4 linked regions of the Solanum lycopersicum genome follow. The protein of the gene in region 1 binds, or shares a complex with, the protein of each later gene. Links are inferred from orthologs where the notes say so. Each region holds a gene or a part of one and is shown in the gene's direction. Other genes may lie near its edges. The genes, in order: transcription initiation factor TFIID subunit 15, transcription initiation factor TFIID subunit 11, transcription initiation factor TFIID subunit 5 and transcription initiation factor TFIID subunit 10.

Region 1 (8,035 bases):
CCTTCTCTTTCAAGATTGTCCTGAATACAGGCATTCCTGGTTGCTTTTGGTTCCAACTCTACCAATACAAGTTACCTTGGAGGTACCTTTGATTTCCAAATAATTTTCAAAGGCTAATCCATATCTCAATCATGGGATTGCTTTTGTAGATCATAGCAACTCTTTACAGTAAAGTCTACTCTTTCTAGCCAGCCACTTCAATGAATTAATATTAATATCTTTTGCAGATACAGGTTGCAGAACCTCTTTAGAAGACCAAACTCATAACTCTCTAGTCTTTCCCAATCTTTGAGGTTTCTTCTAACTTCTAAGTTGTAGATGTTATCTAGTATTAGAGAAACAAACAGCCATCAGTTTATCATGCACTTCCTATTTAATGAAGTAGGGACCTCATTTTTTAGTATCACAATATCTAACTAGTGATCCAGTCAGAATCTGATGCATTTGCCGATTCCCACAACTCTGCTAGTAAAAGAGTTGAACTACCTTTAATAAGGATAAATATGCTTCCAAATAGTAGTTTCTATTAGTTATTAGTGATTTTAGGAGTCCACTGGTCCTCCTTGCCACATATGGTATTGATACTTTAGTTTTCATCTTTGAGTCTCCAAAGCCATTTGATTAGTAAGCTTTTGTTTTGAAGCCTGTTGTTCTGGTTATGGTGCATGTTTTTGTCAATGTTTAGCATGTCTTGCACTGTATTGTTCTCCATTTTTGAGCTATTGCAATGCTGGAACAAAGAGAGCAGGCTGTGCAAGAAATCCCCAAATACTTGGAATAGCATTCCTTGAGCCATTTGGTGGACTATATGGCTTGAAAGAAATAGCAGATTTTTTCTTAGGCAACTGAAGAATCAGACATACCCTTAAACAAAACTGTATACTTTTTTCGATCTTTTTAGTGCAAACTGGTTATTGAACATGATGAAGATGCTAGCCTAGATGCAATAGTGGATATGCTCAATGCCTCAAATCTCAATCTTTAGTTACATTTTGTGGCACTGACTTAGTGCAAGTACTTATAACATCATTGATAAGGAAAAAAATAGTGCGGGAGAGATATGAAGGATCATATAGCCAATACTAATTAGTTTGGGATGAAGACGTAGTTGATTGATTGATAAATCAGAGTTCCTGATAATTTTCTCAACTTGTTGCAAAAATTAACAGGCATCGACATGTGAAGGTCCCTAGTAGTGTTCTCAAATTGGGTATACTCGAAAGTATTGTATTCTACACGTGCTTTTAGCCCATTGACCTGAAATTCTATACTCATAAAGGACAATAACTACTTAGCTCTTTCCTTAATGTATTACAAGATTGCAGTAAGAAAACATTAACCAATTTCCAGCTGTTTTGGAAAATTTACTGCCAAGTGGCATTTGTCTCTAATCCCACCACTTAAAAGTTGGCTTCGTCCCAACTTCCTCCCTACACCCTATCTTATATAAAAAAAATTTCTTTAGTTATCTCTTCATTTCTTCTGGTTTGGTCCTTTGACTTGCACATACTCTGGTGCTTTTCTCAGTTTAATATGATTTGCCTGTAGTTACTTTTAAGGACAGGGGAACTGTGGCAGGACTAATACTAGGTTGTTGCTTTATGCAGTTCTTGGGGTTTTTATTGTGTCATTGGATTTGATGAAATTGGAGCATAAATGGCAAGCTATTCAGGGAAAGGATCTACATTAAATGGTTCTGTGTATGTCTGTAACTTGCCCCTTGGTACAGATGAAGATATGCTAGCTGAATATTTTGGCACAATAGGGGTGCTAAAGGTATGGTTGTGAACAGGTACTTCTAATTATGTTCGAGAATGTTTGTTATATGCTCTCTCCCACTTCCCCCTACTCTGCTTTGAACAGATCACTTTGATTTTTTTATTCTTTTCTAAGGATTTGTTTTGCTTCATGTTGTAGAAAGACAAACGAAGCGGTAGGCCCAAGATATGGTTATACCGTGATAAAGTTACTAATGAGCCCAAAGGCGATGCCACAGTCACATATGAAGACCCTCATGCTGCATTAGCTGCTGTTGAATGGTTCAATAACAAGGATTTTCATGGGTCAATGATTGGGGTATTTATTGCAGAGTCTAAGAACAAAGACGAGGCTTCCTATGTTTCAGTGAATCAAATTAGTGAGCCCAATCTGAACAGTGGTCTGGCTGTGCTGGATGAAGGCTCCAACGATATAGATGGAGGTGGCGGAAGAGGTAGGGGCAGGGGAGATGCTTCTGCAAAGGCATGGCAACAAGATGGTGACTGGCTGTGTCCAAATACAAGGTCTGTGATATGATCATTGGTGAGCAGCTCGTTCGTGCTCTACTGTATCTTCTTCAATTGTCTGTTTTTACTTCGAGTAGTCCAATATGTTTTTGTGCTTACAGTATTTGTAATTAATGTATAGCAGTTGCACTAATGTGAACTTTGCATTTCGTGGAGTTTGCAACCGCTGTGGAACTGCTCGGCCTGCTGGTGCTGGTGGCGGTGGGGCTGGAGCTGCTGGTCGCGGGAGAGGACGTGGTAGCCAGGACCCAGGCGCTCCTGGTCGTGCAGTTGGTGGTCCTCCAGGCCTCTTTGGTCCAAATGATTGGGCTTGTCCGATGTAAGAATCTTCATTTTCATTTTGCAACCTATTTTATTGAAATATGATACTCCCTATCCCAATTTATGAGACACATAACGGATTTCGACATTCAAACAAGTTTAGCTTTGACCGGAATTTTTTCATATACCTTTTAAATATTTTAAAATTGTCAATTATTGTAACTAATAGTACTTTCTACGTAGTTTACAAATGTATAAATTTCATTTTAAAAAAAATTGAAGATTCCATGAGCAAATTCTTGGTATAACTTAAACTGGTTGAATCTCAAAAAATGAAATGCGTCACATAAATTGGGACAGAGGGAGTATAATTTTTCACCCGTAAACTGCCTGAGCATATTCCCTGCACGCACTTCCATTTTCCTTATACCTTATCATAGAAAAACCATTCCGAGCATAATCAGACTTTGTATTCTCCTTATTGCACTAATCTTGAAGTTAGTCTAGTCTTCAGGTATCTGGTAGGTTTAAATTTGTGTTCTCCTATAAAGGCGTGCTTGTTAGAAATAGATACGGTTGGGTTTTACTGTACTCCTCTTTTTTTGGGTAAGTGACTTACCAGTACCTTTAACAACTACATTGGCTTTACTTGGATGTTGGGTACCTTCCCTAGATTACTTGGATGTTCTTTACCTAGTCGAAGATGACTCAAATATAAGTAATAGCTGGAGTCTTGTTGTCAGGGACTTGGTTTTGGTGTGATTCTTTTGTTTATGAGAGTGTACGGGTGGGTGCAGTTTTTGCCCAGAATATTTTTACCAAAACCTTTTAGATTGAAGAAACAAAATCCATCCGAGAAATGTAGGAATTGTTAACTCTGTCATTTTGCTTTAGTCTAGTTGTTTTAGTTGACTTTTAATCTCCAAGTATTTCATTCTACTTGAAAGCGATTCCAAGGTATAGAAAAGACCAATAAAGCTAGCAAATAGAAAATGTGCGTTGTTCAAGATCAGACAAACCAAGTGATTCTACTTCTGTTTTTTTCTCTTAATTCTTTATTATTACTTTAGTGTAAAATCAACCCTCAAGCGCCTACCAGGTAAAGGAATCTCAGCTATGTGACAAGTCAGCTCTTTGTGTTTAAATGATACACAAGGAATGAGGTTGGAGGGTTAAATGGAACAGGGTTGAGATGGATTGCTAAGATGAAAAGACAAAAATTGGGGCAAGTTAGAGGGGTTTCTATGTATTTGTCCTTGTATGACCATTAGAATCGTACTTGTCATTCTGAATTCAGTGTCACAGTGTCCAATATCATTTTAACTAGTCTGGAATGAATTGTTAATTGTTATTGATTGGCATTTATTATGTTTCCCTTTTTTAATAGGTTGACATTTTGCTATTTGTCTTTGACCTATTGTTCAGGTGTGCCAACATTAACTGGGCTAAGAGGAACAAGTGTAACATATGCAACACCAACAAGCCTGGGCACAATGAGGGTGGTGTGAGGTATGAATTACAGGATGCAGCATTGAATGCTTATTTAGATCTCTTAGAAGTGCTGTTGTTGTTTCCTGTTACCTCCTTTTTTTTAAAATGGAAGTGCCGCTGTTGTTTTCTGAGAAGCGCTCCCCTCTCCCGTTTTCCTTGTTGCTCTGCAACAATAGGATTTTAAAAGATGTTGCATTCCTAGCAACTGGAAAAGGAACAGAGGTGCACAAGACATGATGCTAGGTGGCACTTAATGTTGACGTTGGCTGTTGAAGCTACTGGTGATTTAGATTAATGTGCTACATGAATATTATCCAAGGAAAACTTCCTTATTTAGGATCTTGTGTATGGGACATGCTCATCAAGAAAAGTATAGCTGCATTATAGGCTTGTAATTGCAAAATTATTGTTTTTGTCAATCTTTTAGTCTTGTTATAATCATTAAGGGCAGGAAAACACATGGAAGCCACCCACCCTCACCCACACAAATTGCTGACATAGTTTTTTAATATAATTTATCGTTGCCTTTTATGGTTAGTAAGCATGTACTAAGTTTAATTTGATGTATTAAATAGTGTTTCTCTTAGGTATTAACTATGATCTACTTTTATTGTACTCTTCAGAGGAGGACGTGCTGGAGGTTATAAAGAACTCGATGAAGAAGAAATAGAGGAAACTAGACGTCGGAGGAGAGAGGCTGAAGAAGTAAGATAAAAATTGCAGAAGTTTATGAGTTCTATAGCTTATCCTGGGTATCATTCTGCTTCTGACTTTCTGGTGAAATCTTCATCTCAATTATAGGATGATGGTGAAATGTATGACGAGTTTGGAAATCTGAAGAAGAAGTTTCGCGCTAAAACACAGCGAGCAGAAGCAGCCCAGAGCCTCCCCCCTGGAGTAGGACGCGCTGGATGGGAAGCTGAGGAATTAGGTGAGGACAATAGTTTTGTTACATGTGTTGTCCATAATGCAGAATTTATGGTTTTATGCATCTTGCATTATTTCTCTTAAATGCAATATCTAGTGAGTCGAACTGTTTCATCTAGTAGACACTAGATCTACTAGATTGCTTAGATTGATCCTAGTCATCCTGTTTTGGGATCGATGAGCTGCTTTAGTCCTGAGCTTTAAAAGATTTCATAACGGAGTGCTGAGTGTTCTTGTGAGGTGTAATTAATCGAAGACCTACATGATCCTGATTCCGAGCACTCTTTAATTTTGCAGGGGTGGCGGAGCGAGATAGAAAGGAAAGAAGCAGAGAAAGATCAAGAGATTATGATGATAGGGAGAGAGCTAGGCATCGAAGCAGAAGTCGGGAAAGGGATAGGGGAAGAGATAGAGACCGCTCCTACGACTATGATCGAGACAGAGAATATGGTCGTGACCGCGACCGTGAGCGGAACAAGTATCGTCATTGAAGATTGCATGCGACCATTCCATCAAATATGGTATTCATCAAACTTTGTTTGTCTCATGTTTTTGTATGGGTGGCTACTCGTATGGCACCTTCTTAAGGTTGCTTCATTTCTGTCAGATTCATATGTCGACTTTTCGACTTAATCTTGGTCATTTTTTTTCACTCATATGTTGAATATTTGACGTGCATTTCGCAGCGTCTTTTGCCTTATTTGTACGTCCCTTTCTTTCTTTTTCTAAGGAGGCTATCACAATCTTTTCCTGTGCATCTTTAATTTCTTTCCATAGTTGAACTGTTAAGAGATTCTAGAATCAGTTTACTATACTCCTTGAAAATATGGAGGTAAGGGTGTGCTCTAGTGGTTGATGAAGTTGATTGAGGATCATGTGGTCTTAGGTTTATCCCAATAGAGACCACGCTAGATTCTTATCATTTGTTCTAGCCTTGGTGGACATAGTTACTCTACGCTTGTTGCTAGTGCTAGATATTTAGTGAAATTAATTAAGGTAAGCGAAAATTGACATGGATACGATTATGACGTGTGGGGGGGGGGGGGGGATCCATGTTCGATTGGGTCAATCAATTTTGGGTAGTTTGACCAAAATTAAGGGGGAAGTCTGGACAGTTCTAATAATTTGTAATTAATACAAAGCTAAGGTGAAGTGAAGAAAGGAATACCTTTTATATAGAAAATTTTATGGCGCTCATTTTCCTTTAATTTGCTTTCTTGATTCACCTGAAATTTTCCACATAATATCTGTGTGCAAGATATAGTGTATGACCTGCAACTGGGTACACTAGAAGTTTTCCTTCATAGTCTATGTTTGATAAATCTATTTTGACATTTTTAATTATTTTTTGATGAATTTTCACTCGCATTCATACATGGATTTATACCCATACCGAGTCCAAGCAACTTAGACATAAACACACATCCAAATTTGGCCTTAGCTCGTAGGTGAGCATTCCTATGTTGAGAGTATACATCTAAACACGTCAGGTTGGTCTTAATTGTTAAGTTATACTTTTAGGGGCTGTTTAGTTATTGGTTAGAGTTATGCAGGGGTTAATTATGCAGATATTAGTGATGTAGAAATTACAATATATGAATTAGGCTTAAGTCATTGACAATTCTTTAAAATTAGTCGCATAATTTACTTAGTCACTTTAACTAGGACTTGTACCTATTGAACACTTCTATCTATTTGGATTTAAGCCTTTTGAACACTTCTTTTGACGATCAACTAAAAGTATAAAATGTGTGTAATATGTAATGATGTGGAAAATTGTCAAATCAATGACATACATGTGGCATTTGGGGGAGGGGGGACGGGGGGAGAGAAAAATTGAAGTTATCAATCAAGCTACAGTTCAAGCAACTTTGTGTAATGTCTGATGAGGCCTTGAGAATTTTCACGAAGAGATAAATTTACTTTCAACCACAGTTGCCATCACCATAGCCTTCATCACCTTCAAATCCTCTTAATCCAATAAAAAAATTTCAGATCTGTTTTTTTTAGTTGAAAATAGCAAATTACATTTGATAAAAATTAAATTGCATTAACCTACAAAATATGAACCACTTATAATTTTAGATACCAATAAAATCATGACTACATAATCATCTAAGCAAAACATGGAGAAAGGAGGAAGGAGAGGTTATTTTTTTTTTTATTTTAAATCTGATTTATAAGATATATTTTTCAATAAGAAAAAAAGAATTGAAGAAGAAACATTGTAGTCATCGTGTGAGTCTCTATTTTTTTTTCCCGTAAATAAGATCGCAGTATCCAACAGACTTAAAGAAAGGTGGGGATGGTGGTGGTGATAACATCGGCGGCAACAATGGAGATGATATTGATTTCGATAGAAGTTATGGCTAAGGAAGAAGGAAAGAGATTTTTTTTAGAGAAAAACTAAAAATATGAGAGAAAAACTAAAAATATGATCTGATGCATTGAGTGAATGTGTATTACACCTTCCTTGTCATGTCAGCGAAAAATATCATATAGGTACTTATTCTGAACAATAAAAGTGTAATATGTACTAATCTTAGTAGAAGTGTTTAAATGAATTATGTCAACTTCAAAGGCCCATAAATGTCTTAAGTCAATTATTAACTTTTGAATATTAAACTTGTTGCAAATTATTAATATATATTATTTACAAATAATAATACATGCTAATAGAATGTGGAACATATAATGCTAATATTTGATTAGCATATGTACCATCAAAAAATATACAATCAAATTTTTAATATAAAAAATATTTATATTTGCATAAATAAATAAAAATTGTAAATACATTTTTAAAATAAAAATAAAAATGATCTAGATATAAAATGAAATACAAACGTAGATAAAAAACAGTAAAATTTTCAATTAAAAAAATAAATCAAATCAAAAGAAATAAAAATGATTCTATAAACGTAGATAGGAAAACGATTATGTTTCCAATAAAATAAAATAATAGGATAAATATGTAATTTATTATTTTAATACATGTATAATTAATATCCACATAACTTATTTCATTTTTTACCCTGCATAACTTTATATATAGATTCCTTCATAACTTA
Region 2 (6,686 bases), on another chromosome or scaffold:
GTCCTGCATTTTGTCTCGGAATTGTTATTCCTTATCCATCATACCAAACGACTCCTTATAGTCTTAGTTTTGTGACTTAGGATGTACCGGGAGGATGTCTTTGTATACCCACCAGGGCTTTGGTTATTGAGTGATGTGGTGGTTAGGCGTAAGTTACGTGTTCAAACCCTTTTGTTGGAAAAGCCTGGTATTTAAGTGGGAAGGGTAAAGGAATGAGCCCATTATACACCACAACAGACTGCAGGATCCTATCGGTTATGAAAAAGAAGAGAGGATATCTTATCATTGCTTCGTTGATGAAAATTTAACAGGGCAATAACTGCAGTTATATAACAAAAAATGTACCAGCGCAAGTAGACAACTACTTAACCTTTTGGTCTCACTTGAAATAGTACATTGTTTTTTTGTTGAAACTGATAACATGAAATAGTACAGTATTTGTCTTCTATATTTCATTTTTATCTTAATCTAGACATATTGAAGGATGGTGTAGCTTCTAGTTCAAACTTCAACAATGTTTCTTTGACATTGTTGCTTCATCCTTATCTTTACTTTCCTTCCTTCCGAATGCTTTAATCTTTTTCATCCTTGCAATGATCATTTGATTTGAGAATATCTGAGCTGCATCAGTTCAACTCCATTAATTTATCAATCGACCTGGTTGGAGAGTGTGGCCATTTTGTGAGGTCCAAATCAATCTAGTTATAATTTACCATGCCTCCCTAAAAAATTGTCTTGAACATATCACATTATTGTGTTGGAAGTTGGTATATCTCAATCAAAATGGATGAATGATTAGCATGGTGAATAATTTACTTGAATCTAAACATTCTGGTGCAGCGAATTCTATGAAGCGATCTAAGGATCCTTTTGAGGCTACTTTTGAGGAGCAGGATGACTCACCCCCTGAATCCCCTGCTGGAACCGATGAGAATGAAGGCCAAGATCAAGGTGCAGTTGGTGTTAATATGAATGAAGGTGACGATGTTAATACCGATTCTCGTGAAAAACCTTCAACATCTAAAGCTACATCAGTCTCTGTTAGTACTGCTGGTCCAATTAGCAAACCCAAAGAGGAAGATGAGGAGGAAGAGGAAGAAAGCATGGATGTGCAGTTAGGAAAACTCTCATCAAGTAGTGATCCTGACAAACTGGCGAAGATGCAGTAAGTTTGTCAGTTTATGTTTTCAAATATCTCGAACTCTTTCTGTTTACAAGGATTCCATTCACAGAAGATTGTCAAGATTGTATGCTATTATCCTGTTCTGTGATAGCTTATGTGGGTGGTTGGACCTGCCTACTGATCAATTTGCATAAAAGAATAACTCCTTTTCTGATGATTTCTATCCCTTCCTCTCACCTTCCTTTCTTTCCTTGTTGATTTGTTACTCAGACTATTAATTTAACTCTCTTTTGTATGCTGTATTCCCTCAGTATATCTGCTGTATCATTTTTTTTTTAACAAAAAGTATGTATATATAACCAGCAGGTCAATGCTTCTATTGAGATCTGTGAACAGATCTCATCTAGCTTGATATGCTTGATTTACTGCAGATAAACACCAGTAGGAAATATAGTAGCTGTTAAATAATAAATTGACATTTTGTATCAGCATTGTTAAGTAAGGGCAATATGGAGAATAACTAATTTAGTATGGAAGAAACCATATTGTGGTCAAGGCCAATAAAATGGGAATTGTACATTGCAGTTATATATATACTTGTTATGCTAAAGTTTTTCTTCTGCACCTCCTTGTTAAACAACAATATACCTAGTATAATCCCATAAGTGGGTTCTGGGAGGGTAAGATGCACGGAGACCCTACCCCTACCTTTGTGGGATAGAGAGGTTGTTTGGATACATCCCTGGCTTAAAAGGGAAGCTATTCATTGAAGGGTTGCAATAAGAAAACATGAAAACAAAATATCAGGACACATAGCAAAATGAAGCAACAAATAGTAGAAACACATAGAAAAATAAGAAACTATGCGAGTTACTAAATACTACTACTAATAAGGAGAAGAGGATATGGCATTGCCTCTCCCACCAAACGGGCGACCACACGCGGCTACCTACTAAATTTCTACTCTAATGCTCGACCTCCAGGCCTTCCTATCTAGGGTCTGCACCTCGTTTTTACGTGAGCTCAGTTTAGAATATTTTTCTATCCTATAATCAGCAGCGCTCTACCTGGTATTAATAGAGGTTCTATGACACTACAAGAAAAGAGGTAAAATTCCTTTTGAGGTAAGGTAGGTGAAGGGAGGTAGACATTTGGCTTCTCAAGTCTCGTACTTGTTATTCTATGTTGTCAAACTTTATTTGCTATCTATTTCCCATTCCTTCCAAATATGTGAAAGCATAAAAAGAGATCGAACTTCTCTGGTGCAACATACATTTTCAAAATATTCCTCGTCATTCGAACCCGAAATGTCTCCTGTTTCAATAACAGTTATAGGGTGATGGATGCTTTCATCCCAAAAGAAGAAAAAAAAACAAGAGAATAATTATGAAGCTATGGGAGTTGAAGGTTGTGATTTCAGATGTCATTCACAAGTAAAGTAGAATCTCTGATATGAAGCAATTATCACATATGTATTTTTAGATGCTTGAATTGCTGCAGCCTAGCCCTTTCTTTAGCTGTATCTCCTACTTCCACTAGAAAATAGAAAAACCATTTGCCATTTTTCTCTTATACCCGATCAGTGGTGGCTGCTATGTACCACCAGTACCTCCCTATTAAGGGATGGGCAACTCGCACCAAAATAGTCGTACTTGAGCCGAGGGTCTATTAGAAAGAGTCTCTGTACCTTCTCAAGGTAGGGGTGAACTTGTACACATCACCCTTCCTTAACCCCACTTCTGGGATTACACTGGGTATGTTGTTGTCTCACACACAGCTGTCGAATAGCTATATCCAAACAAAGCAGGACTTTATTAAAAAAGGATGGTTGTGTAGCCCTCACCTGGGTGGCTTCTCCTGTTACTGTAGAAGATTTAACTTTGGATTTGAGCTAGATCTAGTTAGACGCTCTCTGCAGAGGCAGTGACCATACCCCACAGCTACATCAGTCCAATAACTATTAGTTCACTTTGTTATCTTCTCTTTCAGGTCCATCTTATCCCAATTTACAGAGGAGCAGATGAGTAGATATGAATCTTTTAGGAGATCTGGATTTCAGAAATCCAACATGAAGCGGGTATGTTTTGCCATCCTACCCATTTTATCATCTTTTTCCTGCTTTTTGCATGTTCTGAATATGATCTGTACTATTATAGACAAAGTACTATAGATGATGTCAGAGTTGTTTTCTCCTCTACTGTAGCTTGTCTGTTGTGTTTGTTTCGTTATTCATGTGCGTGTTGCTTTTTGTTTGCTTGAGCTGGGAAGGGAGTTGGCAAAAAAGGTTATACTGAGAAAATGGGCAGAAATTTCTCTATCAACTGATCCTCTAGTGTGGCTTTCCAATCAATATGGTCCGGCCTTGCCCCGGCCCTGTGCATAGTGGGAGCTTGGTGAACTCAGCTGCCCTTTTCAAGAAATGGAATGTAGATGATAGACTGGTGTCTGAGATAAAACCCTATACCCAGTAAACCACATCAATTTCCTTGTATTCATCGCTGATACTCACGATGTATTCATGTCTGATACTCACAAATTTCCTGATATAGTAATTTTCCTAATCTCTTACTCTCCTGTATGAGAGGACTTCTATTTGGAAATTCTCTTACTGCAGCCTCATGCTAGTTTTGGTTTGATTTGTTTTGAATTAATAGGGCTTTTTTCTCTTGGATTTCTTCTGTACCTAACATTTAGCCATTTAAGCAAATAGTGTTGTTTTTCAGTAAAAATATAATATCAGAACAAGAACATGATAGAAAATTGTTGAAAATACATGTGAATAGAATAATCTTGTCCCTTTATTGTGATCTTGTGGCCATTGAGATGTTAACTTGTCTTCTCTTGTACTTTTCCATACATAATTTGATATGATTTGTTTGAGTTAAGATGGGAAACTCCCAATTGTATGTTTACTTCCAGAAACCTCTGCCATCCCCCTTAAACCCTTTTCTCCAATCTTTTTTTTTTCTACATGAACCCTGAATAATTCTTGCCCCAACTTCTCTCTTCCCAATCAACCCTTTATCCACATACACACAAACAAACAAAAACCACAGTAAATATATTCATAGTACCACCAAAATCCTTTTGGATCTTTCTCAAATAGTTTAGCTAATGGCCTTGTAGTAACCAGGATTTTTGACCTTTGCTCGGCTGTTCCTATGGCTTCAGTGCCTTACAACCCTTCTTTTGTATTGGGGAGTGTTAGTGCCAATAGGGTCTGTCTTAGAAGTACTTTCTTTCTGAGGAATCACATCATGAATGGACTTTTATAATCTGGGTTGAAGTGGAAACAGGATAAAAGAGATGCTAGAGTAGTGTCTTAGATAGCTTCTGCTGTATCTGAAAAAGAAGCTTCTGGGAGTTCTGAGGAGACCCATGAGAAATGCTGTGGTGGGGTTTCATTTTCTTTTGTATAGTTTTAAAGTTTTGGTTTGTAATTTTCAGTTCTTGCTTTCCCAGATTGGGTATATTGTTGTTGTTTGACTTGAGATGGCCTTGTTACGTGATATTGGACCAATCCCTAACATTAGCCTATTGAAGCACATTCTTTTTGTCTTTCATTGCACACATGTAATGTTAGAATTCATTTTCTCAATAGACGCGTAACTGTCAGATGATTGAGAATGAAGCCAAATCTTTGTGAATATGTGAGGATCTTGTGCAAGCCTTAGGGCCATTGAGATATTTGCTTTTCCAGTCTGATCATTTATTGTGCATAATTTATTTTTTGTCGTGACTCTTGTGTGTTGTCGATGCAGTTGCTGACCAACATCACAGGAAGTGCAAAGATATCTATTCCTATGACAATTGTGGTGTCTGGGATAGCAAAAATGTTTGTCGGTGAGCTTATTGAAACAGGTAAATAGACAGATCCACTTGTTATAGAGATAATTGATGAAGCAAACGTTTATCCTTTATTTGGGAATAGCAAGGATGACTTGTCGTTGGAATGATCTTATTTTCGTTCTATTCTTAGACACTAGTGCACAGCTCCAAAATATTTGCCAAACTATAATCAGTTTCTGACCAATTTGCAACAATGAGGCATTAAAAGCCCAAGACCAGTAATATTATCCGTTACTGAGCATGTTGGTTAACATTCATTTGGAACACTTTACCCCTTTAAAGTAACAAAAGAGTGGCTCTAAAATGTCTTCTATGTACTCACACATCGTACCTATGCTAAGTAAGCACCCGCCAATGTGTCTGAAATTGCATTTGACGTGTCTGACTGGTTAAGGATGTTTGGCACTATAACTAGGGAAAACATAGGACTTTTTAGCAAGAACAATAAAATGACTCTCCTGCCTCAGTGTTGGCCCAGGCACTGCCCTCCTTTGTTCCTAGTGGTCTCTGTTACCCTCTACCTGTAAAAGCTCACTGTCACATTGTTTCTCTGCTTTTCCTTTCCCTTCTTCAAAAGATCGATAGAATCAACTGAATATTTCGTAAACCTAGGTGAACACGTTTAACCAATTTCCAGTCTAATTATGCAGTAAAGAGTTGCCAATCTTTAGTGTTTCAAGGTGGAAGTGTCCTCAGTTAAATAAAGTTGAAGGGCTATACTGCATTGATTTTCTCCAAGTAATGGTGCTCACTCATCTTACAATACCTTTTGCAGCTAAAATGGTGATGGCAGAGAGAAAAGATACTGGCCCAATCAGGCCATGCCACATAAGAGAAGCATATAGAAGGTTAAAACTTGAAGGCAAGATTCCAAAAAAATCAGTGCCAAGGCTTTTCCGGTAGTGAACGTGGAAGCAACCTGTAGTTATATTTCAGGTTCATTGTCTTCCTATTGCTTACAAGTCCTCTAATGTGTCTATGTTGAATTGTCGCAAATCCTTAATTATCTTGCACTTCCAGGTCAAGTAAACATTGCTAGTCACAAAGTTGTCGAGTTAGGACACTTTTGCATTGCCTATTATATATGGGGTTAATCTGTTAATTAAATTACTTAATTAGAGGGAAGGAGTTTAACATTTGTGAAAATATTTGTACTGCCCGTAACCTGGAACTGAAAATGATGGAAGGAGAACACTAAGATTGCAACATCTTGGCTAAAATAACAGCATCATTGTATTTTTGGGCAAATCATCATTGTGACCATGGTCGAGTTTGTTGACCATGTTGTGAATTTCTCAATGCACTTGGATGAAAGAGAAAATTGGAGTGACGGGACAACAATGCTTCTTCACCATGTTGTGTGGAGGAGGCATCACAACGGTCCTAAACTTTATCAAGTAGAAAAGAAACCAAAAGATAATTCAGATCAGTTTGATTGTTCTTCTCTTTAATTCTAACTGTGGACGTTGTCGTTCATTTTCAAAATCATTTGTTCACGCTCTTAAGTTTTTACAATGTTTCTCATCCCTTGTTCTCCATTCTCTCAGATTTGTAGTAGTCAGCCACTTTCCTCGCAGAAAGGCGTAAGGATGAACTTGTAAATCTTGGACGAAAAGATTCATGAGGTGTACCTTTACAAGGTGAGGCTTTAGCTTCTCTTTGAAATGTTGGGGTTCCATTAAAGAAGTAAATTTCGAGGGGCATCAGCCATGGT
Region 3 (8,354 bases), on another chromosome or scaffold:
GTCCCTAATTATTTGTTCACTTTCCTTTTTTTAGTTGTTCCTAATTATTTGTCTATTTTAACAAATCAAAAAATAAAAATTTATTTTACCTATTATACCTTCAATTAATTTCTTTGAAAAGATAGAATTTCTAGAAAATTTTAAAATTTAATTCATGCATTTCATAATTAATAGGATAAAATGGTAAAATCACTATATTAATAAATATTTTCTTAATAGACGTGTTAATTTAAAAATGAACAATTTAAGTAATTAAGAACGTGGGAAATAAAAAAATATATCTAAATTATCCCTTTTTTTAGTATCACGCGTAAATTATTATAAATGTAAGAAACACACTTAAACTATCACTCGTATGTGTTTGGTGTATGTATAGTGTATTGCACGCACTATCTTTTTTTAACCAAAGAAAAAAAAGTTTGCGACTTTGAAAAAACAATTCCGTTAAATAAGTTTATAAAAGATTAAAATGAAAGTGGGCTGTTGATAAATATAGAAGTAAAAGGATAATATAAGAAGAATGAGGAATAAATTTCTTGTCTTTTACGTTTACGTGCGAAGACTTCTTTTTTTTTTTCATTAATTTTATTTATTTACTAGTATTCTTTATTAATTAAAAAAAATTGACTCTCATTCATCATAATTAACTCTTTAAGTATTTTTATTTTCTCCGGTACTAATTATTAATTTCTTGATATGAGTGTTGCCTGTTTATTCTTTATCAATTAATAAGTATTGAATTATGAACGTAATATAAATATTATCAAGATTATATTTAAATAGTAGCTTTAAAAAAATATATTCCCTTCGTTACATTTTATGTGACACAATTTCCTTTTGGTCAGCCTCCCCTCCCCCCCCCCCTCCCCAAAAAAAGAATCACATTTTCTTATATATGGTAAGTATTTAAATGTATAATTCATTTTTTACTCTTGTTGGTCCCATTTAATTTTAAAGATGGTACATAATACATTTATGAGGAGAGAGAAAATTGAGTTGACTTTTTTGAATGACAATTTAACAAATATTTCAAAGTCTTCATTATTTCTTAAACTATGTGTCCGGTCAAATGTTGTCACATAAAATGGGACGGAGGGAGTACAAGTTTAAAACTGATGAATATTATTATTAGAGTTCTTTTAATTTAACGATTCTTTCAATCCTTACCGACATTCTTGATAAGTAAGATGATTAGATTGAAACTAAAATTTGTATTCTCTTGGTTATATATTTGTAACACGACATAAAGTCAATGGAATATGAATATATTAAGTTAACACTATGTTTATGCAAGCTCAAATTTTGGTGTAAAAAAACTGTTTTTCCTCAAAGTTTCAGCAAATAAGGCCACCAATTCCTAAAAAAGAAATAAAATTTGAATTGTTTAGTTATCGCTGGAGGTTTGCTGATGTATTCGAGATCTATAAGTTTAAGAGATTTTTGTAATTTAATTTGAAAAAAAAATAGAAATAAGATGTAATTAGCTCGTAGTACTATGTAATTCGTGCAACTTTTATAATAAACAATCATTTTATACATTTCCTCAAATAATTATTGTTTAATTATCATCATCATATTTAAGACTTTTGAATTAAATAAAGTCCTTATTTGATTTAAGTAAGAATTTATGATATTTAAACTTCTAAATTAATTACCATTTTACCTTTTATAGTCAAACTTTACCAAAAAAATACAGCTGTTTCGTCTACATCAACATTTTTTTCATTTAGGTTTTGATTCAGGTTGCCTTCTTGCATTTGTTATCATCATCCTTCATTCAGGTTTCGATTCAGGTCTACCCCTTTTGAACAATTTCTTGTGTTTCTATTTCAGTTGAAAATTTGGAGAGAAGAAGCATGTCGCAGCCGCCGAAAAGATCAAATTAAATCTATCATGCAGGACAAATCAAAGGTTTATCTCTTTTCTTTTTCCACCAATCTTTTTCTACGGAAATGGTGGTTCTTTGATTGCCGCAAGATTTACTCCTTTTAAATACATTCGATAGTTTTTCTGCCATTTAAAATGTAACAATATATAACATTATTATCATAGTAATTTTTGTTAATTTGATTATTGCTCTTTTTTCTCTCTCTCTAAATGTTTTCTTAGACTACAAGTATTTGTAATAAATATTTATTTTATTATATTTGATTATAGTTAAAATAAAACAGATAAAAAGATCAAATAAGTAAATGATTTATATACGACGTGGCGTTGAATGCAAATACAAAAGAAAGAGAATGGAATAATAATTGACATTCTTTTTTGGTCAATAGAATTTAAAAGATTAATCATTTTTTTTTTTTTGAATGTGAGGAGTTTCTGATTAGCCAACAATCCACCCTATAAGCACAGTTCATGTTACCATCACTTGATGAAATTTACATTTAAGGCTAGGTGACGCCTTCTTATCACATAAGACTCTGAAAATAAAACTTCCACTTTCTCAATCTCATATCAATACGTTGGGTGTTACTTGTCAATCTTTCCGTTTTTAGATAATACATCCAAAATACTTGAAACTATCTCTCTTTTGGATGACTAGTATATCAAGTCTCACTTCTCCACATCAGCCTCATGCACCACATTGTTAAATTTGTACTTTGAGTATCCAATTTTAGTCATGTCCTCAGCCCGAATCATTCACTGTAAAGTCTATTTATAAATCTCTATGTGAACGTTAACTCCGTCGCTAGTCTCACCAATCAAAATTATATTATCTGCAAATAACATATACTGTGACACCCCACCTTAGATCTGCCATATTAATACATTTTTTAAATATTAATTCTTAGTAGTATTTCAAATATACATGATTATATACTATTGTCTCACCGGTTCACATTAGCATAAAAAAGTTTGCATCTTTTGACTCTAGTTTGTTGTGATAATCTTTGATTTTTGCTTCCGAAGATAAATAAATTTCTCACAAAATAATATATTATGTCCTTAAAAAACTTATTCTTCACTAAGCATATGGGTCCATTTAAAGGGCAAATCTTGTGATTAAGAGAGAAATTGGAGCCTAACCAAAAAAATATAAAACAAAACACCTTCCATAAACAAAGTGACGACGACGTCGTATTAAGTCCCTCCAGAAACCCCAAATCAAAATTCTCGGTCCTATAAACCCCAGGTGTTTTCTTCTTCTTCTTCCCAATTCTCAAAATCTTACCATTTCTCGCCATGGATGAAGAAGAGATTGAGAAAGCAGTCGTAGCGTATTTGAAGAAGAAGGGTTTCAAGCAAACGGAGATTGCTTTTCAAGAAGAACAGCAAGTGAATAAAAACAGTTCTTCTTCAATCCATAATAACAACAACTCAGCAAATTCTCAGATTGACCCCGACTTAACCAAAAAAATCCTTTCTTTCTCTGAGTAAGTTTCTTTTTTCCACTTAATTTGATGTAAAAATTACTGTTTGGCTAAGAGGATTAAGTTCTAAAATCAATTTACCTTGAAAGATAGTTTAATTTCAATGAAACACGTTTAAGTAGAGAAGGATTGAGTACAGAAGATCTGAAAACTAGTTTAGGGTTGAGAGGTGACTTGGTTGTTGGAAGAAAAGCAGGAGCAATATAATTGAAGCAGTTTTTCTGCACCCTCCAGTAGCATTTCTGCAAATGCCCAAATTGACCCTGAACCGTCAGACAAAAATAATCTGTTCTCTGTAGATAACATAAATTTAATTACTGGACCCATTCTAAAGAGGGAGAAATCAGCACTACTTGGTGAAATAGGTTCTTTTTGAATCAATTGTCCTCTTCTCCTGTATTTTAAATGCAGAGTGCTTAGCCATGAGGTTGCGGTTCTAAATAGCATTGACAATGCCCAGAACCACTTTTGAGGTACTAGCACACTGTCTAGGAATTGGAAAGAGAGGATCAAAGGAAATTTGGCGGAAGAATATCCCTGTTTGTATCTGGTGGACGTTATGAAAAAAAAAGGAATGAGAGATATTATGAAGGGAAGGGTAGCAGCACACAGAAGATCAAGATGAGATCTCTTAGTATTATATTTTTTTGGTGTAAGCAAGATTTAGTGGGGACAATAGATAGCTTAGTGGAGATTATAGGCCAACTGTAAATTTTTGAAAGTTTGTTTTTGGATTTTGAGTATGATGGCATCCCCTGGGGTTTGTAAATTCCTCCTCATCAGTCTGATGAGTTCTTTTGTGCGGATTTAAGTTACCTATTTCAAAATAAATAAATAAATAGAGGGGATGTAGAGGAGGATTTATGAGCTGACCCAAAGTCTCAAACTGTTTAGGATTGAGGCTTCATTAGTTGTTTCAAGAAGGGAAGCAACAATAATTGTGTGTTTGGTATGGAGGAAGCTTTGGTGTTATTTTACATTCTATTAGTGACATTACACTTTGGAGCTTCCTACTTTTAGAATATTACAGATATAGATGGATAGATGTTATGGCTCCGTTTTCACACCGCCTTACACTAGCTGGAAGTCTTGACAGCTGTATAACGCATACTTTCTGGTTATTTTCTTAGCATGCATCTTTGATATCATTCTGAATCTAAATTTTTATGTTTTCAGATTTGAAACCAGTCCCCAACGATACCAAGAAGAATATAGCAAACTTCGGTCATGGGCCTATAGTTCACTGGATCTGTATAAGGTTGGTCCCCTGACTTGTGCTAACAGTAACATGAGAAGTAGTTTATGCAGTATCATGATGCATAGCTCCTCATGACATGTAATGCACTAATAATAGGTCTGCCACCAGTAACACCATAGGAAATAAACATAAATGGAAAGGAAAGGCTTTCATTTTCTCTTTTATTTAGCCCTTTTTAATCCTTAACATAATGTATTAGTGATGTGCACCTTGACCTATTAATACTTCTGCTGCTGTCTTTCTGGCAGTGACAAGGTCTTCAAAATTGAGTTCTCATATTTGTGATTCTCAACTCTAGTTCATTGACTTATGCTATAAATGTAGCACCAGTGATGGATTTAGTACTGTCTTCTACCATTGCGATCATAATAGCGAGCCAAAAATAGCTCTTCATAACATAAGCATGACAAGCGTGCCGTCTTCATACAAGTTAGGTTGTGTGATTATACAAGCCAGATGAAAAAGTGATGAAAATGGTTCCATATGTTTGGTAGGTTCAAGTTGGTCCCTTAATACTCTTGAACAATTTTGGTCCTTTAAGTTCACCAAAAGCGAAAACACCCTTTGGGGGGGGGGGCAGTGGTTTGGGCTTGGGGCTTCCATTTTGGAGGTTTCAAGTTCGAAACCCCTTGCTAGCAAAAGCAAGGGTCCAGTTTAGAAAATCAAGAGATAATTTACCTTTTGTGTCCTTTGTTATTAAATACTATTTATCATCTAACACATTTTCCAGAGCATTAAATTTAATAAAGTCAAAGGATAAAATAGTAATGTTACCGCTATTATTTATTGTTTCTTAAGGGTGTGCTAAGTCAATAGTAGACAACTATTGTTGGACCAAGGGAGTAACATCTATAGTTTCAACGTTTGCCAGCTTGCTAATTTTGGTTTATTTTTGGAGGATGGTGCAGCTTTTGAAGTGCAATTTTGCCATCTTTTAATATCTATTGTGTGGTATATGGTTCAATTTTTGGTGTTGCAATTTTCAAGATAGGACAGGACTTTTTGGTGTTTTTGGTTGGATAGTTATTTTGACCATTCCGATGAAGTCTACCCATTCAAGTTCTGTTTAAAAAAAAAAAGGGTCCAACCACTTGAGTTCTGTTTCAAAAAAAAAAGTCTTAACCATCCGAGTTTGTTAAATATTTGTCAGAGACCAAATGCTCACTTTTGGCAAACTTAGAAAACCCAAATTGTTGGGGGGTATATTGAAGGACCACCTTGAACCTATACTCAAACATAAGGAGCCATTTTTTCTCTCTCTCCAAGTTAGACACTTCCTTTTGACTTACTCTTTAATCTTCAAGATTTTGTGGTTTCCTGTAATAGCTGAAGCTACCTTCCATTTATTTTTGTCCATTTCTGTCTACCTTGTCTCAGTCCATTCCAGATTGCCTCTCTCTTTCTATTGGAATTGAAGGATGTGCTGTGTGCATCTGGATTTTCTCCAATTCCAACATAATCTGATATTGATTGAAAAGAGGGAAGTTAAGCTAGCTAACGAAGGGGTTGGGATCCGCCTCGCCCTTAAAGATCCGCCCCTCGTTTCACTCTGAAAATTTATTATCAGCTCCTTCTGTTATTTAGCCATCTCTCTCCATAAAATTCTTTCACGTACATGAAAGTTATTTCATATCCTAGAGAGTGCGGTTGTATTGTCTCTCTAAAGAATCGTAGGATCCATTGGAGATAAAATGAAACAATTTTAAATGCCGAGTGTTCTGTTTCCTTTTTTTCCTTTGGTCGTTTCTCTTTCTGCAGTGCTGTTACTGCTTAGAATACCTTTCGGTTCGCAGAAATGATGTGCAAACTTTGTTGTTTCCAACAGTTTGGCCATTGTATATATTGGGGTTGTTAAGTCTTTCTCTTTTATAGTATGCGTGACTCATTTAAAATCATCTTATATTATGTTGATTATTGTTATCCTCTTTTATTTGTTAGATGAGATTATTGTTATTATTGATTCATCTGAACATATATATATTTCAATCTTGCAGCATGAGTTGCTTCGTGTTTTATATCCTGTATTTATTCATTGTTTCATGGAACTTGTCGCTAGAGGTTATATTCAAGAAGGTATACTTTGTCAGTTATGTTTTGGTTGTATTTTGATATTTGTGAGAGAATTTTTAACACAATTCTTTTATTTCCAGCACGAGCCTTTTTCAATAGTTACCGTGAAGACCATGAGATGACGCATCTGCGTGATCTTCAGAAGTTAGAAGGCGTCCTCTCACCTTCCCATCTAGAGGTACATCAATATCCTAGCAACTGTGTGGATGACCTTTTCCATGCTTAAGTGTGTCATAGATCACTAAACTTATTCCGAAATGCAGGAAATGGAATTTGCTCATTCTATACGGGTGAGCAAAGTGAACATTAAGATGTGTCAGGTATTCTCTTGATCCTTTTGCTTCCTCTGGTTGAATTTTTCTGCTACTATAGTGCACACTAATGTCTCAACTGTGAAAGCCAAGTGTGTCGGGGTTTGTTAGCAATTGGTGACAAATGCATATCGAGTTAGTAGTTACAAAGGAGGAAAAGAAACTAATGTGATATTTCACTTTAGAGTGCATTATCTTTCATTTCCTTCTCTTGACCACTTATTTTGCTGTGGAACTTCAACTTTTTGACAAAAAATCCACCTCTTTCCAAATCTTTTCTTTTGAAGCTGAACTTCTATTAGTTATGTTGATGAAATAGCAAACACTGGTTCATTTTGTAGGTTTGTTGGAATTAACTACAACATTTAGTCTATTGTTCTCATGCCATGGATCTTATCACCATGTATATTAAAGGAACAATCATTTGTCTAATGGTTTTTCTAGTTTGGTGGATTTACGTGCAGTTTGATTACTGTTTTTTGGTCAATATACATGTCTGGCACCATTTGATTACTTTTTACCACGCATACCTTTAGACTTAACTGGATTAGCCTTTTGATTTGCTTATTTTACTCTGAAACAGTACTCCTATGACCTTCTGTTGCAATACTTGCACAAGACAGAATCTATTACAATGCTTGGGATCATCAATGAGCGCATTAATTTTCAAGGTGCACTTCCCATTTTCGCAGTTGCTTTCAACCTTTCAATTTGCAACTATGTTAAATTGACCATTTTAATTTAGCGTAATCTTTTTTGATTAAGTAAAGTATTTCATTAAGAAAACAAGGCCGAGATGACTGTAAACAAGAGATATACCCTAAAAGAAGAAACCTACAAAAATATGGTTCACTCTAAAATACACCCAATCCTCTATACTAATAGGAACGACATGGTGCACCAAAAGAAAATAGGGAGTGGAGACTGCTACTTAGTTGAGCAAGGCTCATCTCCATTCCTTCAAAAGCCCCCATATTTCTCTCTCCAAATGACCCACGTTAAAGCAAGAGAAGTAACATTCCAAGCCTTTTGCCTTCTTCTCCTGGCACCAGTTGTCGAACTAAACATCAACTCTTTCACGGATCTTGGCATCAGCCCTGAAATGCCGAACCATCTAAAGATACCCTACCATAACCTCATTGCTAGATTGCAATGTAGCATAATATGATCCACGATCTCACCTGCCTCCTTACTAAGGAAACACCAACTAATACAGACAACTTTCCATTTCCTAACATTCTCCGCCGTCAAAATCACCCCTCTATAAACTAACCAAGTGAAGAAGCACCCCTTCCTTGGAATCCTAGGAATATCGTAAATATTTATTCCACCATGAAGTGT
Region 4 (8,331 bases), on another chromosome or scaffold:
CTGTACAGCTGCCGCTTTTGGCGTTATAACACCAAATAATTATTACCATAAAATCATATAATTTTATATTTGGCCGAATTCATAAACTTATTGAGTTTTCCTCTCATGTATCTTAACTATGTCATTTTTCTATTAAATAATTGAACTATCCATAATTTATTTTTTCTAAACACTGTTGGTTGATTTTGATCGGCTTTTTCTATCATAAATGTTTTCAATTATGTTCGAATTGTAATAATTTTGATTGAAGGAATGAACACAAATAGTGTTAGTCTCATTTGTTTTCTAATGTGTTCAAATGACTTCAAGTAAAAGACAATTATCTTCGAACATTTTCACTATCAATTGGACTGGTGAAATCTGGCACAACATATGTATCAATTATCATCTATCAATATCTCTCACAAATTTGATTCCACATTAAGTCAATAGTGTTTGTTTAAATGGAACAAATTATGGATGGTTCAATAATTTAATAGAAAAATAACATAGTTGAGTTATCCGAGGGAAAAACCCGAACAATTTTAGGAATCTATTTATGCATTTGGTCTTGATATAAACATCATGTGCAAATAAATTTTTATCAATAACCATTTGGCGTAGCAAAATTACTTGCTTTTTGTATTTTTATTTTACGTGGTATAATATGATTTGACATAAAATTTAACAGAAAAAATAACTTAATAATTTTTCAACACTAATTATCAACGTTTAATTATTAATATCATCTCTAAGCTTAGTTGATAAGTATGAGATAATGATACTTTAGTTCATAAAGAATTATAATGATACGATCACTTTACTCCACTAATGACATTTTTAATTCTCTTCTTTGCTCAATGATTATTGCTGCTTTACTCATAAGCTTGAGTGTTTTTCCCACTTAGTATCTATAGCAATAATTCAAACGAAAGATTTGTTTATTTTACCATTAAAACAACGTTGTTAATGAGATGAATGCGATCTTTTTATTTTTTATTAATCGAGTCGAACGAGTTACTAATATACTTTAATATATATTTCGTGAGATTGAAAGCACCTCAAAAAGGCTAAGGATGTCATGGCATTTCTATCTTACTTTTTCATACACCATGTGAAACGAATCCAGATTAATCGAATCACCAAACATCAACATATGAAATGAATATTATTAGTATAAAAAGTACAAAAATTTCCTACATTTAGAGGCTAATTACATTTTACTTCGAAACTTTTCCTAATTACAGAAATTCTAAATTTTTCATTATTCTTAGATACATTCTGTGTTTGTCCGATACATTGCAAATGATACTTTACTTAACGAGAGGATATCCGAATATGAATTTTTATAATTTTTTAAAAACAAGAAATTTCAAAGATAACAATATATCATACTATCTCCGTCCATCTTTTAATTGTCTTAATTTCCTTTTTCAAAGTCAAACGATAATAACTTTAACTAATATTTTACGATATATTTTTACATCACAATGATATGCAAAAAAGAAAATTTGAAATTTATAATAATTTTGGTAAATTTTTTTCTTCTCATTAAATTTTATGATTCCCTATTGATCACTTCACCCTTCTTTTTAACTTACTTTTTCTCTTTTCACTATTCATCCACTAAATTTGTTTCATATAAATACACACATATACCATCTTTGCATTTCTCAAGCCAAGCTAAGTTTTATTTTTCTTATTTTCTTTGTTCTAAAAGTTTAATATTCGTTTCGCTCGCAAAAAATTTAATAAATTTTTCTATCGAAAAAATAAAATATTAGACATTTCATCTTCGAAAATAAAATAAAAATGCGAACAGTAAGTACCTTTACTACTGCTTCTCCATCAGTCTCTCCATCGGCGATTGTTCAAAAATCGCCATGGCATTCGCCGGCGCCGTATCTATTCGCCGGCGTAGCGTCCATGCTAGTGTTAATAACTTTTGCTTTAGTAATCCTAGCTTGTTCTTACTGGAGACGATCCGGCTATCCGAGAGAAAACGGCGATGTAGAATCCGGCGACGGCGAGAAATCGACCGGTGATGTTTTCAAGGCGTCGCCGGTTTTTGAGGAGAAAATAGTTGTGATAATGGCTGGAGATTTGAATCCAACTTTTTTGGCTACGCCTATTTCGAGTAGAGGTAATTCGTTTGGTGCTGGTGATAAAATTGAGAAGAAATTGGAAAAGGAAACTGAAGAATTTGATGATGAGAAGGCGAAAGATGAAGCTATGGATCAAGCTCATGAAGAATCTCAAATCGGCCATTGATGAAGCTACTGAGCTTTGAAAAAAAAAAAACAGAGCAATTTTCTCTATTTTTTTTTTTGAGTTCTTCCATTTTTGGTTTAATTTTTCAATTTTGAGATTCGGGAAATTGTACTCAATTTTGGTTGAGATAACAAAGAGTTAGAAAAAATTTTCGTTTTCGAGTAATATGTTTTCACGGAAATTGTTACTTCGATTTGATACGTGTTTTATTAGCTAACGATAATCATAAGAGTCATTTTGCTAAAAAATAAATAGATCGTTTTTAAATTTTTCAATGAAAAAAGTAAAATTGATGATATATTTTTAATATAATGAATGAAAAGAGTAGAATCAATTATATATCGATTTAGAAAATGAATTATTTGAAGAATCTCGAATGTATGTGCATATGTGACGTTTGCGATTTTATATCTATTGTGATTTACTAATTATATTTGATAATTTATAGTAATTAAATATGATTTAAAAATCATGCTTATTCATGCAATTTATAGGTCGTATCTATCGAATATGATATATAGTTAATCTATAAATTGAGTTACTATTAATATGTAATTTATAAATTATATTTATCTAATATAACTTTCAAATGATGCAAATCAAATGTGATATTAGTCATATTTGTGAAACATGATTTATAATCGTGCTTACCAAATCATTCAAGTACCAATTAAGTTACTCAATTGTATTGTAATTAAATTAGTTATCAAATAATATCCAAATTGTTTACTCAATAATAATATAATTCATTTTAATCTTCTATGATAGAGAAGAATAAAATGGCTAACATAAGTGATTATGAGTGTGTGTATATATATATATATATATACTTCAATGTAAATTTTAATTGCGTTTGGTTTGATAGAGAATAAAATAATTTAATTATATTTTTATTTTATAATTTTTTTAAATGTTATGAACTATCAAATTTAAAAAATAAAATAAAATATAATTTTTTTTTTTACGAAATATTATCGTTAGCTAGGTAAATATATATGCCCCTCTTCGCGAACGAATTTCACATAACAAAAATACAATTCTCCTCTATCTTAGGCCTTTTCTCATTTTTTTTCTTTTTTGCACAATTGTGGAGAAACAATTTTGAATTTTAAAAAATAATCAAAATTATAATATTTCTATATCCTAGAAGGAAAATAATATTACTTTTTCAATATGTGAGTTTAAAAATAATTTTTATATATATTTTTAAATATTTTAAATTATCGTAACCATAGTAATTTTACTTACCTATTACTAGAATATTTTTCTTCAGTTTCTTCTTCCGATTTTTTTCTCAAAGTAAAAAGGCACAAATCTTCCCCAATTTTCCTCCGGCGAAATTGAAACTCCGACCACCGCCGATCCTCCGTTGACTCTGTTTCGACGGTGAAGATGAACCAAAGTCAAGGTCAACAAACAAGTGAAGGAAGACACGAGGATGATGCTGTTCTAGCCGATTTCCTTGCTTCCTTGATGGACTATACTCCCACTGTGAGCTACTTTTTGCCCTTTTTCTTACTGAAGAGATCAATTTTATGTTTTATTTATGTAGGTTAACGCTTTTGATCAGATTCCTGATGAATTGGTGGAGCATTACTTGGGTAAAAGTGGATTTCAATGTCCTGATGTTCGATTGTATGTATTTTCTTCCCATTCTTATGTTGATGTTTCTGCAATTTAGCCTGCTTAGATTAGTTATAGAAAAATTGTTTGGATTGCTCATAAGGAAGATATGATTTTCGTGTGTTTATCTAGAACTATTTTCACTAGGTTTATCCTCTGTCTTGAGCTAACCGTAGTCTTTAAACTCGAATACGATGAACGCGCTCCTCAACCTACGTTTATTTTGCTTGGCGTAGCGAAAGCTCTACACTTTTGCCAAGTGAGCTAAGCCCTGGGGGTTCAAAGGGAGATATTATGTTACTGCAGCAAACAAATAAATTGGGCAAAGGTGCCCATATAATGATGTAAAATCCAGCTTGGGAGGATGTCCTCCCAAGATATTTCCTTCAACGAAGTAATAGAAAACTTAGCTGAATTATGTGCTAGTTTTGTTTAGACTTCTCGGAATATGAACAAAGTCTACATGATCAAGCAAGCTCTTAGCTTCCAAATGTCTTCACAAGTCACCTCTATCTCCCATGAGGTAGTTAACTTTTTCCTGAATCATAATCAATAACACTCTTTGCTTCCAATAGGATTCTCACATCCTTCCAATTGTTCCTGATTGTACGTTCAAGAGCCACTCTTAAAGCAAGTGCTTCAACAGTCATAGCTTTTCCCGCAAACTGGATTGGGGAAACATGGGCATGAATCAGTTTTCCAAGGCTTTCCAGAGCTGCAACACCAATATTTGCCAGTCCAGTATCCACCTGTAAACCTGCATCAGTAAACAATAATATAACATCTTGGTGGGTTGTTGGTGGAGCCGCAAGGCAATACCCATTTTTATGAAAATTAGATGAGCAATTAGCTGAATATCTTTATACTCGTAGCAATCAAACAGTGACTAAGCGGCAGTATTCTCTAGTTCCGTTTTTGTTTTGATCGTTTTCTATTTATCTGGTTTAGCAGTAAATTCAAGTAAAATTTATATATCTGTGAATTGGATTGGTATTTACCTTTTTACAAGTTGTAAATTTTAATATTGTAGCATTTGATGTTTTGTTTGACAGTGATGGCTGGTTTATCTTATGTTATCAGTTTTTAATACTGTGTTGTTGTATTGAGTTTTTCCTTTGGATATGCAGAATAAGGTTGGTGGCAGTTGCTACTCAGAAGTTTATTGCAGATGTGGCTACTGATGCTCTCCAGTATGTTTCTTAATTATTTTATTTTTCTTGAATTCTGTTTCCTCCTCCATCTTATGTTAAGTATGCTGCTAATTCTTCGGCATATTGCTCATCGATTGTCCCCTACTCTTGAGGCTTCAATGCAATTGTTGCCTGTCTAGGTGTTTGTCATTGTATGATCCTTCCAACTTTTAAGTGTTCAAGTTGTTCTCCTCCCCCAAACCTTAAAAAAACTCTTTTTGGTTCGTCTCTAATGAATTAGAAACATTAAGTTGGTAATTTTAGAATCCAAGCCTGTTATATTTTTAAAGACTGCCGACCCTAACTTGACTACACTACCAAAAATACAACACCTGAAATTCTCTATTGTTAGCGCAATAATACTACTACCTCAGGAGATTATTGTGTCTGTGACACTCCAAAACCTTAGAAAAGAGACAAAGAAACAGAAAAATACAATATAAAGAAACTAAGATATGACTTGAGTAGACATGTAGAAAGACCTTGTTTCAGAATATATGATTACAAATAACAAAGCATCCAACTTTCTCTGAACTTCCTTTCTTAATGTTTCCAATGGATTGTTATTTTCCTAATGCTTCTACTGGATTGTGGTAGATCTTCTCAACTGTGACAAATCAGTTGTGTTTTGTTTCGTTATCGACTCAAGATTTTGTGAATGCCTCACTTTACTCACTATTTTGCCTTCACTAGTCGTAATGAAAGTAAAACTCATGAAATGCTGTGAGTCTTTTGAGGATAGATTATGGCTTTATCATCGGAAGAAAGAATAAGAGTTTATGAATGGTCTCTTATGTATCCTTCATGTTTAGAAAGAAATGGATATTTATGAAACGGGCCATTCCAATAGAGAAACAACATAATGCCAGTGGTTGAAAGCAGGCAGGTCGATGAAAGTTAGGATATATCAGGAGCAAGGGGTATCTCCATTGGTATTCTGTGTAGAGACTAGAAATATGGTTGAGACAACAAGATGGCAGTGGTTGAAGGAAGGAAAGTTGATGACTTGTGGGTAGACCAGGATAAAGACACCCTCATTTTTTGTGTTGAGACAAAATATAGTTGAATTTTGAAATTCTTGTTAATGTCTTGGAAACCGAGCTTATATTAGATTAACTTTCTTATTTTTCATGGTAATGCAGACATTGCAAGGCAAGGCAGTCAACTATTGTCAAGGACAAGAGAGATAAGCAGCAAAAGGTGCTTCACTTTTTTCTCTTTTCATTTTCTTATGTTTATTGGTTCTAACTCTGTTTTAGCAGGACAAACGCCTTACCTTGACAATGGATGATCTTTCAAAATCTCTACGAGAGGTAATCATTCTTTGCTGGCCTATCAAAAAATAATAAAAAGTTATTCATCATTATAATTTCATCTTATTTATTCTATAAATAGTCTGCTGTATAATGCTTTTGACCAATCGAGTGGTCCATCCTTGTAGAACCTCTCTTGTTTCTTCTTCTCCAAAAGGCTGTTCTTGCGTTGCCAATATTTTTATCACTTCAGCGATACTTTTTGCATATGAGTGTTCTCCGTAACCTTTGATTTGCATTGCAGTATGGTGTTAACGTCAAACATCAAGACTACTTTGCTGATAGCCCGTCTGCCGGGTTAGATCCTGCTTCAAGAGAGGAATGATGTAATGCCTGCTAACAAATCTCTGTGATCACATAAATCTGATGGTTTTAGGTCATTGCGTTGTTGTCATCCTCTTGATTTCTCAAAAGCTATATATCTGTTGGAGGATACAACTCTTGACTACTATGTATCTCTATACTTACCAATGTTAACTGTAGTTGCCACCATTGATAGATTTCTCGTTTCGATATTCCTTTCATGGTAGCAATGAGGGTGATGTTGATAACTGGTTTGAATGTTTAAATTTGCTTTGAACTTGTTGATGAATGTGCTCTACATGTTTGGTTGTGTCTATTTCTGATGGAATACACTATTGTGGTAGCTGAAACATGACGGCTACACGAGTAGCTCTGGCTGAATATTTTATGTATCGTGAACGACACTTCAATAAATGATCCTTCCAAACAAGGTAATGAGCTTATCGCGAAATGTCTCTTCTATTTGCATCGAAATGAAGACCATTCACCAAAATGAGCATCAATATCCATCATCATAGTGAACAAAATGCAATATTCACAATATTCACAAAATAGCAAGTTAATATTTACTCCTTTTTTGGAAATTTCTAAAGGATCTATAGCAGTTGCAGTCTACAAAAACATAAACGATAAAATCCATTACAGAAGTTAAAAAATTGTCTAAAGACTATCTATGAAGCCTTCACTATATAACGCGCAAGCATCAAACTTACAATCGTTTGCACCACAACTAAACGAAGAGATTTAACCTTTCCCTTCTCATACCGTGGGCGCTAGTCCACCATGAACACAAACACTTGATAAGTAATTGCTAGGTTTTCAGGTGAATGAACGATACGCTCCAGTCTTTCCAGTAGATCCTTTATTACCTAGCAAAAAAAAACCCAGTAAGAACGATCTAGTTACTGGAGCAACGGGAAGCATGGATTGCACCATCGTATTTGAGGGGAACCATTAAAGGATGGAACGGGGGAGGTCCCGATCCTTTTACAGGTGCAAGCGAGATCTAGTGTTGTTTCCTGCAATATCTTCAAGGAAAAAAATCCATGTCTAATAGAACATGATGTGGGGTGGTGATGGTGGTGGAGGATTTCAATTGAAGTACTTACCTAATTGTCATAGAAGCGGGAACGTCTTCTCCGAGAACTGTGCCACAAAGGAAGCATGAAAAAAGATAAGAAGTTGTGAATCAGATTGAACATTAACAACATTAGACACTATCAACAAGAATATATCTAGCGTAATCCCACGAGCGGGGTCAGAGGAGGGTGGTGTGTACGCAGCTCTACCCCTACCTTGTGAAGGTAAAGAGGTTGTTTCTGATGAACTCCCGGCTCAAGTAAAGCATAGTAAAATCAAGAATGAAAAGGACGATATAATAATGGAGCAATCATGTTGAACATAAACGGCAGCAACAATAAATAATATGGGCAACCGAAGCAAAGGAAACAAAATGTAATAATTGAATCAAAGAACAAGATAGTATGCGAGTGCGACTAATAACAAACACTACTGAAAGTGGAGACTACACAACACTCAACTACAAATAAACTTTTACCCTAGTCCTCGACCTCCATATCTTCCTGACTAGGATCATGTCCTCGGTAAGCTCTGCAAGTGTCCCATGTCCTGTCTAACACCTCTTCCCCAAA

The links.
Region 2: transcription initiation factor TFIID subunit 15 (region 1) and transcription initiation factor TFIID subunit 11 share a complex: the UniProt entries of both Arabidopsis thaliana proteins name them as parts of the TFIID complex. The link is inferred for Solanum lycopersicum from reciprocal best matches to the Arabidopsis thaliana genes TAF15 and TAF11.
Region 3: transcription initiation factor TFIID subunit 15 (region 1) and transcription initiation factor TFIID subunit 5 share a complex: the UniProt entries of both Arabidopsis thaliana proteins name them as parts of the TFIID complex. The link is inferred for Solanum lycopersicum from reciprocal best matches to the Arabidopsis thaliana genes TAF15 and TAF5.
Region 4: transcription initiation factor TFIID subunit 15 (region 1) and transcription initiation factor TFIID subunit 10 share a complex: the UniProt entries of both Arabidopsis thaliana proteins name them as parts of the TFIID complex. The link is inferred for Solanum lycopersicum from reciprocal best matches to the Arabidopsis thaliana genes TAF15 and TAFII15.

Annotation. Positions count from the first base shown.
Region 1 is NC_090810.1:45,840,782-45,848,816, forward strand, and holds the end of transcription initiation factor TFIID subunit 15, read left to right. Parts: intron 1-1,607; 5' UTR 1,608-1,656; coding exon 1,657-1,776; exon of another isoform or gene 1,777-1,792; intron 1,793-1,917; coding exon 1,918-2,282; intron 2,283-2,406; coding exon 2,407-2,604; intron 2,605-3,971; coding exon 3,972-4,055; intron 4,056-4,660; coding exon 4,661-4,742; intron 4,743-4,838; coding exon 4,839-4,968; intron 4,969-5,261; coding exon 5,262-5,455; 3' UTR 5,456-5,693; downstream 5,694-8,035. UniProt on the Arabidopsis thaliana protein: TAFs are components of the transcription factor IID (TFIID) complex that is essential for mediating regulation of RNA polymerase transcription.
Region 2 is NC_090804.1:5,056,718-5,063,403, reverse strand, and holds part of transcription initiation factor TFIID subunit 11, read left to right. Parts: intron 1-840; 5' UTR 841-848; coding exon 849-1,165; intron 1,166-3,112; coding exon 3,113-3,200; intron 3,201-4,884; coding exon 4,885-4,984; intron 4,985-5,747; coding exon 5,748-5,875; 3' UTR 5,876-5,908; exon of another isoform or gene 5,909-6,237; intron 6,238-6,519; 3' UTR 6,520-6,686. UniProt on the Arabidopsis thaliana protein: TAFs are components of the transcription factor IID (TFIID) complex that is essential for mediating regulation of RNA polymerase transcription.
Region 3 is NC_090805.1:43,575,239-43,583,592, forward strand, and holds the start of transcription initiation factor TFIID subunit 5, read left to right. Parts: upstream 1-2,836; 5' UTR 2,837-3,186; coding exon 3,187-3,377; intron 3,378-4,550; coding exon 4,551-4,632; intron 4,633-6,626; coding exon 6,627-6,705; intron 6,706-6,782; coding exon 6,783-6,880; intron 6,881-6,965; coding exon 6,966-7,022; intron 7,023-7,596; coding exon 7,597-7,684; intron 7,685-8,354. UniProt on the Arabidopsis thaliana protein: TAFs are components of the transcription factor IID (TFIID) complex that is essential for mediating regulation of RNA polymerase transcription.
Region 4 is NC_090811.1:67,583,330-67,591,660, reverse strand, and holds transcription initiation factor TFIID subunit 10, read left to right. Parts: upstream 1-3,270; 5' UTR 3,271-3,642; coding exon 3,643-3,741; intron 3,742-3,820; coding exon 3,821-3,885; intron 3,886-5,000; coding exon 5,001-5,063; intron 5,064-6,205; coding exon 6,206-6,263; intron 6,264-6,325; coding exon 6,326-6,376; intron 6,377-6,620; coding exon 6,621-6,701; 3' UTR 6,702-6,968; downstream 6,969-8,331. Other genes in the region: protein GLUTAMINE DUMPER 2, read left to right, coding at 1,792-2,250; uncharacterized protein, read right to left, coding at 7,789-7,825. UniProt on the Arabidopsis thaliana protein: TAFs are components of the transcription factor IID (TFIID) complex that is essential for mediating regulation of RNA polymerase transcription.